Saccharomyces cerevisiae S288C: one gene and its partner. The gene in region 1 interacts genetically with each later gene. Each region holds a gene or a part of one and is shown on either strand. Other genes may lie near its edges.

The links.
Region 2: of MDV1 (region 1) and ECM19, changing one enhances a phenotype caused by changing the other (phenotypic enhancement), as found in Saccharomyces cerevisiae (one study listed by BioGRID).

The regions. Positions count from the first base shown.
Region 1 is NC_001142.9:202,346-209,329, reverse strand, and holds MDV1 (Mdv1p), read right to left. Parts: upstream 4,026-6,984; coding exon 1,881-4,025; downstream 1-1,880. Other genes in the region: chaperonin-containing T-complex subunit CCT7, read right to left, coding at 1-1,453. UniProt on the Saccharomyces cerevisiae protein: Involved in mitochondrial fission. Has a partially redundant function to CAF4 in acting as an adapter protein, binding to FIS1 on the mitochondrial outer membrane and recruiting the dynamin-like GTPase DNM1 to form mitochondrial fission complexes.
Region 2 is NC_001144.5:901,199-903,904, reverse strand, and holds ECM19 (Ecm19p), read right to left. Parts: upstream 840-2,706; coding exon 501-839; downstream 1-500. Other genes in the region: CCW14 (Ccw14p), read right to left, coding at 1-181; STE23 (metalloendopeptidase), read left to right, coding at 1,245-2,706. UniProt on the Saccharomyces cerevisiae protein: May be involved in cell wall organization and biogenesis.

The DNA.
Region 1 (6,984 bases):
TTTCAAAGACAACACCATACCATTTCTCACCTTTGCTGTGAGCCAATCTTAGTTTGTTTAATATTTCTATAGCATCAAACCCAGCATTTTCACAGAGTTGCCTTGGAATAACTTCTAAAGCCTTAGCGAAGGCATTGATTATCATTTGTTGCTTACCAGCTATGGTTTTTGAATAATCTCTCAAGCATTTTGATACTTCCATTTCTGTAGCACCACCACCAGCAACGATCAGTTTATTTTGTAACGCTCTCTTAACTATCATGATTGCATCGTGCAATGATCTCTCAACCTCGGCAATAACTTGCTCAGCACCTCCTCTTAATAATAATGTACATGTTTTAGCTTGTGGGCAACCTTGGAATAAATTGTAGCGTTCTGACCCGATTTGCATTTCCTCAAACAAAGCACAAGTACCCAAATGCTCTGGTTTTATATCTGAAGTAGTAGATTGTATAGAGCCTCCAACAGCTTGGATGACACGATTCATATCATCTGCGCTCACTCTACCAGCGCAGAAAATATTTCTATCAGCAAAAAATTGAGTAGCCAAATCGCCGATAGGTAACTTTGATAGTACAATATTGGCACCTGTTTCTTCCACTTGTCTTAGCTTTTCAAAGATTAATTGCCACTCCGCATCTACAATAGCTTGGTAATCTTCAACATGTTCTACACGTACTTCAGCATTGTCTTTCTCTGCTTTCAACTCCAGTTCTACATTCAAACTTAAAATTTTAGGATTGTTGAACTTTTTGGGTTGCTGTTCAAATCCAGCATACGAAAATGTCTTCTTAAAGGCGACACCGTTGATGAAAAGAGATTCTTCCATAGCACCACCTGGAATTTTTTTAATACCTATTAATTTGTCATCCAAATCGTTTCTATCAAGGGATAGCACGGCGTCAACACACATTTTAACAAAAAAATCTGCATTATTATGAATCAATTTCGACGACATTGCAGTTCTAGCACAGCGTTCAAGTAATTCTCTGCCACTGCTTTTCTCTGAAGTAATATCCACAGCTAATTCGTTAATCTTCTCCACAGCTAAAGAAACGGCCTTTCTGTAGCCCTTCATAATCAAATGAGATGAAATGCCTTCTTCCAAAAAGGGCTTGGCTTCTTTCATTAACTCACCAGCTAAAATGGTTACACTAGTTGTACCATCACCCACCTCGGCATCCTGAGCTCTAGAAATATCCACTAAAGTTTTGGCAGCAGGATGTACTACATCTAATAATTTTAGGATCGTGGCACCATCGTTAGAAATAGTAGTCTTTTGATTCGATGTCACAATTAAAATATCAGAACCTAAGGGACCTAAAGTTGGTTTCAATGCCTCTTGGACTGCAACACAGGCATTGATATTAGAGATGATTTGACCTTTACCTTGAGATGCGTCTGTTCCCTCTTTTAGAACCACAATTGTAGGTGTTTGGCTTCCAAAGTTCATTTTTCCGAGTTGTATGTCTCGTGATTCAGGTACTACTTAATATTTGCGGCTAATTCTCTGTATTTGAAATCATTTCGACAATTTGGCATCTGCTAACGCTTAATAACAATTATTCATTTTTTTTTTTTTCAATAGCAAGGATGAAAAAGTCGCCACTTAAATATTAATCATTATTCACGAAAGTTTTCTTTTTCCGGGTAAGGATAATGCAGGTATGGTGATTGCTTCCAAGACATCTGTAGTAATATGACAGGGCAACATCTACAGCACCGATTTCGCTGATAAACCATCCAAGGTATTGACGATACTTTATTTACATTCCAGAACGAATATTTATTTATATATATCTGAGCGAGCAGCTATTCACATATGCACTCGATATTTATTTTTCTTCAAATGGGTTGACTTGATTGCAATGCAATGCCTATCATACGGCCCAAATATTTACGTCCCCATTTTCACGACCCTCAACCATGTAATTTTCTTTATACTTAACGGTACTAACGCTAGTCTCGTTACCTTGTTCGACGCAAGACCAGCTTTCATCCTTTTCGCTATCGTATATCTGGACACTTGGTTCGTCTGCGACAACGACTGCAGCGTTCTCTTGGAAGAGATCTAACGAAAGAACTGGCGCACTGTACGCATGAAACTTATTCAACAACCCAGTTCTTAAGTCCCAGATTCTAACTGTTCTGTCGTATGAACCTGTGACCAGGCACGCGGAATCAAATTTTAATGACGTTATGGCATCTGTATGCCCTTTCAAAGTACGAATCACCTTTCCGGATCTTAAATCCCATAGCCTTACAACACCATCTTTTGTACCCGTTGCTAGCGCTGCATCAAAACTTTGTAGTGCACCTATACTAGGCCTCTCATTTCTTTGAGTAAGAAGTGTGCTCTTTGATAAATCGACATTAGTGGATGTTGTTAAGACATTTGCAAAGCTCAGATCAATGGTTTGCAAGCACTTCCCGGAACGTAAGTCCCATTGCCTAATTGTTCTATCCTGTGAACCACTCACCAAGAAACTAGGATCTAATGATAATGCAGTAACCTCATCTGTATGCGCCTCAAATGTATGAACACATGGAGAATCAATATGATTTGTAGGAGAGGTAAGATTTTGCGTTTCCTGGTAAAGTTGTTGAGCTAAATTCAAATTCCATAATTTTAAAGCCGCATCTCTACCACCAGTAACAAGAGTTCCGTAGTCACGATTGATTTGCATACAATTAATTGTAGCAAGATGTCCTGCTAGTTCTCCAATTTTGTTTTGTTTGGATAAATCCCAAATTTTTACCGTGTGATCAAGATATCCGGCTGTACATAAGGTACCAAAGGGCGCATCAAAATCTAGGCAAGTGAGGAAATCATCGTGAGTGGACATTATAGAGCCAATTTTTGTTCCTGGCTCGTAAAGCTGCTGGAATGTTGGGAAGCTTTTTCTGTGTCTTTTTTTGGATTTGCTATAAAAGGCACCTAATCTATTCAATGAGTTATCGTCTCGAAGTTGTTGCCTTCTCCTTGGAGGTAGATTAGAAGCCTCTGATGATATGCTCTCTGTGGTGACACCCTCATTTCTTATAGCATCATTTTTAAGGGCCTTTCGCTCACTCATACCATCATCTTCTGCATTTTCGTCGCTATTAGCTTCGATCACCTCCAATCCGTACTCTTCTAAAAAGTCCAACCTATCATCAATCTGTTTGAGGTTGTCTTCCAATAGTAATTGATTTTGCTCTATGTTCGCAATTTTACCCAACAGTTTCTCTTTCTTTTGTCTCAGATTCTCAACTTCAACTTCAATGTCTCTTATTTCGGATAACGTAGAATTTTTCTGAATATTTAAAAACTCTAAACTATTTACAAGAGTTTGAGAAAAACTTTTTAATGCACTAGGAGAATAAGAGGAGCTTATTTTTTTAGTTTCTACCCCAGGCGGTATGAGAAATGAATCTTGGAAGTTAGGAAGCTCTGTGTGAATTTCATCTCGCTCATTTGTTTTAGACATAACATCTTTCGCACCAACCGTACCGCTTGTACCATTTGTATCATAGTTTAATCTTTCAGTGTTTTCAATGGCAAGCTCCGCTATTGGTAGGTAGCTTTTAAAGCCCTGAAACAGCGATGTTTCTTTTTTGGATGCGTTCTTCCTGAGATTTTCATTTTCGCCTCCTTCGGTTAGAAGCTTGCCATCTGCATCACTTTTGAGACCTTCCTTAGTTGGGATCTCGTTCAACAAATCATCACTTATGTACGTGAGCATTCTGAAGCATGTTTTGTTGTCTGTGAACTTGTTCCTGAATACATCGCCCCTTCTTGTCTTGGAGTAAATATCCTCAAAAGTGTTAGATGCATTTTTTACAAAGCGACCGTGTTCAGTCCTCTTGTAAAAGTATGAAGTTGAGCTCGCATTGTTGACGGTATTTGATAATAAATTCTTATAAGGCCCATTATTGGTCAGTACATCTTGAGTGTTGCTGTTCGATTTTTGGTAGTTTAAAAAAGCGGAAGCCGTTGTGGACAATGTTTTTCCTATATGAGTTATTTGGTCGTTCACTGACATTATTTGTCATTATTTGCTACTAATTGGAGCTCTACGAAGGGTTTATATGGTTGTACTTTCTGTAGAAAGTTAATTTCTTCTCTTGTTTACGCCGTCTTTCCTGAGAAAATCGATGTGAAAGTAGTTCCGCCTGTCAAAGTTGAGCGAATTCCTATCGGACGGAAAAGTCCGATGAGCGACCACATTAAACAGGGATACCAGGTCTGAGGAGGACTGTACAATGTAGGGGGAAAATACTCAAGTATGCACTCACTGTCAACTATTGGTTCCAAGTCGCTGGAAAGAAACTCATAGCTTCAAAATTTAATAAAAGATAATAGGATTACGTAGATGAGCCAAAAAAAATAAAAAAAAGGAAGTTCTGCAGCATGTTCAAGGACGGCTTGGTCGATTGTTTTTCTGTGTCGTAGAAATAGTCTGAATATATATCATCGGTATCTTATACCCTCATTCAAGGTGGAAATTGTACCAGAACAGTCATCAAGGGCCAAAAAAAATCTCCGCGACGGGGAATTGAACCCCGATCTGGCACGCGACAAGCGCCCATTCTGACCATTAAACTATCACGGATTTTTATGTTGTTTTGTGAGCGTGTTTAATGTATCCTTCACTATTTGAAAATATTTTCTCGACCTCAATACCAAATCAAATGACCTTTTACGGTCGTCAAAATGTGTTTCACCCTATAAAGTGAGCTTAAACACTTTAAACATCTCCTCTATCGGTTGTGCTGTACGGAAATAAAGATCAACTTATCAGGATAAATTTTAATAATTAGTATTTAAAACGTGTAATTCGGTTTCTGTATAACGCCAGTCACATTTCTCAAAAGATATATTACTATATGATGTAAACATTAGATTTATTAGAACTGGTAGCAATTAATATTTTAATCAATACTGATGTGAAATCTGAGATATGGGTGGATTTTGAAATAATTGTTGGAATCCTGTTGTTGATAGAGGGTATAATATTAGGTATACAGAATATACTAGAAGTTCTCCTCGAGGATATAGGAATCCTCAAAATGGAATCTATATTTCTACATACTAATATTACGATTATTCCTCATTCCGTTTTATATGTTTCATTATCCTATTACATTATCAATCCTTGCACTTCAGCTTCCTCTAACTTCGATGACAGCTTCTCATAACTTATGTCATCATCTTAACACCGTATATGATAATTGTTGGAATAAAAATCAACTATCATCTACTAACTAGTATTTACGTTACTAGTATATTATCATATACGGTGTTAGAAGATGACGCAAATGATGAGAAATAGTCATCTAAATTAGTGGAAGCTGAAACGCAAGGATTGATAATGTAATAGGATCAATGAATATTAACATATAAAATGATGATAATAATATTTATAGAATTGTGTAGAATTGCAGATTTCCTTTTATGGATTCCTAAATCCTGGAGGAGAACTTCTAGTATATCTACATACCTAATATTATTGCCTTATTAAAAATGGAATCCCAACAATTATCTCAAAATTCACCCAATCTTCAATAATATATTGATATGTTGATAATTAGAGGTTAAAAATTAGTATTAATGAAGAAGTGAGTACTGATCTTCTTATACTAAATAAGAGAGGTATATAAAACACACGCCGATTGGTCATATTAATTATGACCAATATAATAGTGATTCCGGTAGTTACTATACATTGATGTGACGACTCATATTCCTCATATATGTACCTACCATAACATGTTCAACTAATAGGTCTTTAACACAGCTTCAGTATTGTCTGAGCTTCTCGTTTAACATTCCTTCTGCAATAGGCGCAATCACACTTAAACGTATACGAGTTGTACATTAATATACGATGTAAGCATTAGATTGTTACCATAGCAACTCATGTCACTATTAATTACTCTCGTTCCAACATGCTCCCTTAAAGATATATTATTGTACTTCAACAGATATTCATTGTGTGTTTAGAACTTCATTAATTAATTATCAATAGTCTGTTGAGGCCAAAATATCCTGTGATGTTATTTTATTTTTTAATACTTGTATAAATCTTTTAAAATCAGATGCTGATACTGGTTTTGTTAGTAAATCAGCAATATTACCTTTGCCGGTAATTTTTAACAGTTTTATACTCTTCTCTTTAATTTTTTCTTTTATTATTTCAGTTTTTATCCAAGTGAATTTCTCTTTTGGTTGTTGATAGCTGCGATTTAATCCTTGAATGGCTGGCTTTGAGTCAGTGATCATGACAATGTCATTATTGTCTCCTTCTCCTAGCTCCTTTAATGTTACCTTCAACGTTTCTGAGTCTGCATAGCCTTCATAAATGGCATGAAGCTCTGCTTCTGTTGATGATACACATCTGTTTGTGCTCTTGTTAGAATAAACATTAAAAATATTCATACCGTACCATAATATAACTCCAATCCTTGATTGAGCATCATATTCTGATCCAACTGATGCATCAGTTATAGCAATAACCTTTTTGTCTTTATTACAGTCTCGGTCATAGTGTATTCCAATATCTTTATACCGAACCAAGTACTGGATTATTTTGTAAATCATATAAAAGACTCTTTCATGTGGGTAATTTACTAGTCTAGCCACTTTCTTAACAGCAAATTCAATGTCGTATCTGCATTTGTGTCTGACATAGTTTAGTTCACCTAGTAATTGTTGTAGCTTTAGAACACCTTGTCTAAACTCTTCTTCTGACATTTGCAGTACGTCTTTCTTAGGATCTATTTTATAAGTTGACATATGCGGAATTGAACTTTTTCTAATCTTTTTCAATTCCTCGTTGTATTTTTTATCCATTCTATTTATGAATGATTTTAATGTTAAATCGATAGTACCAAGTCTTTTGTTGTATACTAGATCCATTCCTAATATATCTGTATCGAGTACATCGTCTATTAATGTTCCTGTAATTTTCAGTTCAAAATTACTTTTCAATTTGTTTATGA
Region 2 (2,706 bases), on another chromosome or scaffold:
TCTTGACGGCGGAGTTTTCGTGTTCACAGTAACAGGTGACTTGATTCAAAGAGTCACATGTGGAAGAGGATTTGCCGACTTGCGCAACACAGGCCAATAAACAAGCTGGAGGTGTTGCTAAGACTTCCTTCGACAACAATGCCAAAGAAACGACTGAAGATAATAAAGTGGTGGCACGCATGATAATATATAACGAGTGTTGAACGAGTGTAGTAGTGCTGTGAGCTTTGACCCTGTGTGTATTAACAACTGGCGAAATCTATTTATCATCCCTTTGTTTATAAGTTCGAGAGTGTTTATAAACGGTGAAAAATTCGTGAAAAATTAACGGAAAAATTGTAAAAAAGAAATAATGGGTCCTAATGCATGTGGTGCATGGGTCCAATGCTTCTATAAATAGTAATTTTCCGGGTAATAGGTTTTTGTAACGTTATAATGGCTTTACTATTGATGCTATATACAGGAAAAGAAAGTATAGAGGTATTTTCTAGTACGCTTCCTTACTGTTGTGGTGGAGTAGGAGGTGTAGGTGGTGTAGGTGGTGCAGCTGGTGTGGATGATAAAGACGGCGTGACCTTTAACAGATTTCCGTCCTCGTCGTATTCTGGGATGGGAATGTCCGTTCTCAAGTTTCCATCCTTACGCAATCTATCGATAACAATGGGCTCGAAAAATCTCGTGCCCGTGTAGACTCCCACAAGGCATGCGATACCTATAGTGACCATATCTAAAGTGTTCTTTCGCATATTGCACTGGACTTGACGTTTCTTGTGTTTGTTACTTTTGTCAGTTGAATGACTGAATAACACTACAATTGTTGTATTTTTCAGCCAATCCATTTCTTCATCGCGTTTCCCCTAGTTTATGCGGAAAAGATAGAAGAAGCGCACAGGCAAAATATGATGTAATACAATCAATTGTGGCCAAAAATACAAGAGAAGGGGATGACTGTAGCTGTATTGTCTCTATTCTTTTCAAGGGGTTGTTGATGTACCGTTGCTGAAGGGTTCGCTGTACTATTTAACACCCTTTGGGCTTTCTAGCTTATTGTTTAAGCAGCTTTTATTGGTGGCGTACATACTAAATTGTAAAGGCGCGCGCCGGTCTGTTAATGATGTTGAAATTTTCATTTCGAGGACTTCGCCCTTTTCTTCCTGAATGAATCAGAGAAAGTGAAATCAAATAGTAAGTCAGAACCAACCATTCGGAAGACCTCATTCTTGCTCATTTTGATATTGCTCTGTATGGGCGTATCTCTTTTAGCTTCTTCTTCTGCATTTGTAACTAAACCACTCCTCACTCAATTGGTTCACCTCTCACCTATCAGTCTCAATTTCACCGTAAGACGCTTCAAGCCATTCACGTGCTTATCACGCTATTACACAACAAATCCTTATAATATGACATCCAATTTTAAGACATTCAATCTGGACTTTTTAAAGCCGGATTTAGACGAAAGATCGTATCGGTTTATTGAGCTACCTAATAAGCTGAAGGCTCTGTTGATCCAGGACCCAAAAGCAGATAAAGCAGCAGCGTCGCTAGACGTCAATATTGGCGCCTTTGAAGATCCAAAGAACCTACCTGGATTGGCGCATTTCTGCGAGCATCTTTTATTCATGGGCTCTGAGAAATTTCCAGACGAAAACGAATACTCGAGCTATTTAAGCAAGCACGGTGGTTCATCCAATGCCTACACAGCATCGCAAAACACAAATTATTTTTTTGAGGTTAATCACCAACATTTATTTGGTGCGCTAGACAGGTTTTCAGGGTTTTTCTCTTGTCCTCTTTTCAACAAGGACTCTACTGATAAAGAGATCAACGCCGTTAACAGCGAAAACAAAAAGAACTTACAGAATGATATTTGGAGAATTTACCAATTAGACAAGTCTTTGACCAATACAAAACATCCATATCACAAATTTTCTACAGGAAACATCGAAACTTTGGGCACATTGCCAAAGGAAAATGGACTAAATGTTAGAGATGAACTGTTAAAATTCCATAAGAATTTTTACTCCGCTAACCTAATGAAGCTATGTATTCTTGGTAGAGAAGACCTTGATACTCTCTCTGATTGGACTTATGATCTCTTCAAGGATGTAGCCAATAACGGTCGTGAAGTACCCCTTTATGCGGAACCTATTATGCAGCCTGAGCATTTGCAAAAAATAATTCAAGTCCGTCCTGTGAAAGATTTGAAAAAACTAGAAATCTCTTTCACTGTCCCTGATATGGAGGAACATTGGGAGTCCAAGCCACCGAGGATATTAAGTCATTTAATCGGCCATGAAGGGTCCGGTTCATTACTAGCACATTTGAAAAAATTGGGCTGGGCCAATGAGCTATCTGCTGGTGGGCATACTGTGTCCAAAGGAAATGCTTTTTTTGCTGTCGATATAGATTTAACAGACAACGGGTTGACACACTATCGCGATGTTATTGTCTTGATCTTCCAGTATATTGAAATGTTGAAAAACTCACTACCTCAAAAATGGATATTCAATGAACTGCAAGATATCTCTAATGCTACCTTCAAGTTTAAGCAAGCTGGTAGCCCATCTTCCACAGTTTCATCATTGGCAAAATGCTTGGAAAAGGATTACATTCCTGTTAGCAGAATTTTAGCCATGGGTTTGTTAACGAAATATGAACCTGATTTGCTTACCCAATATACGGACGCTCTGGTCCCGGAAAATTCTC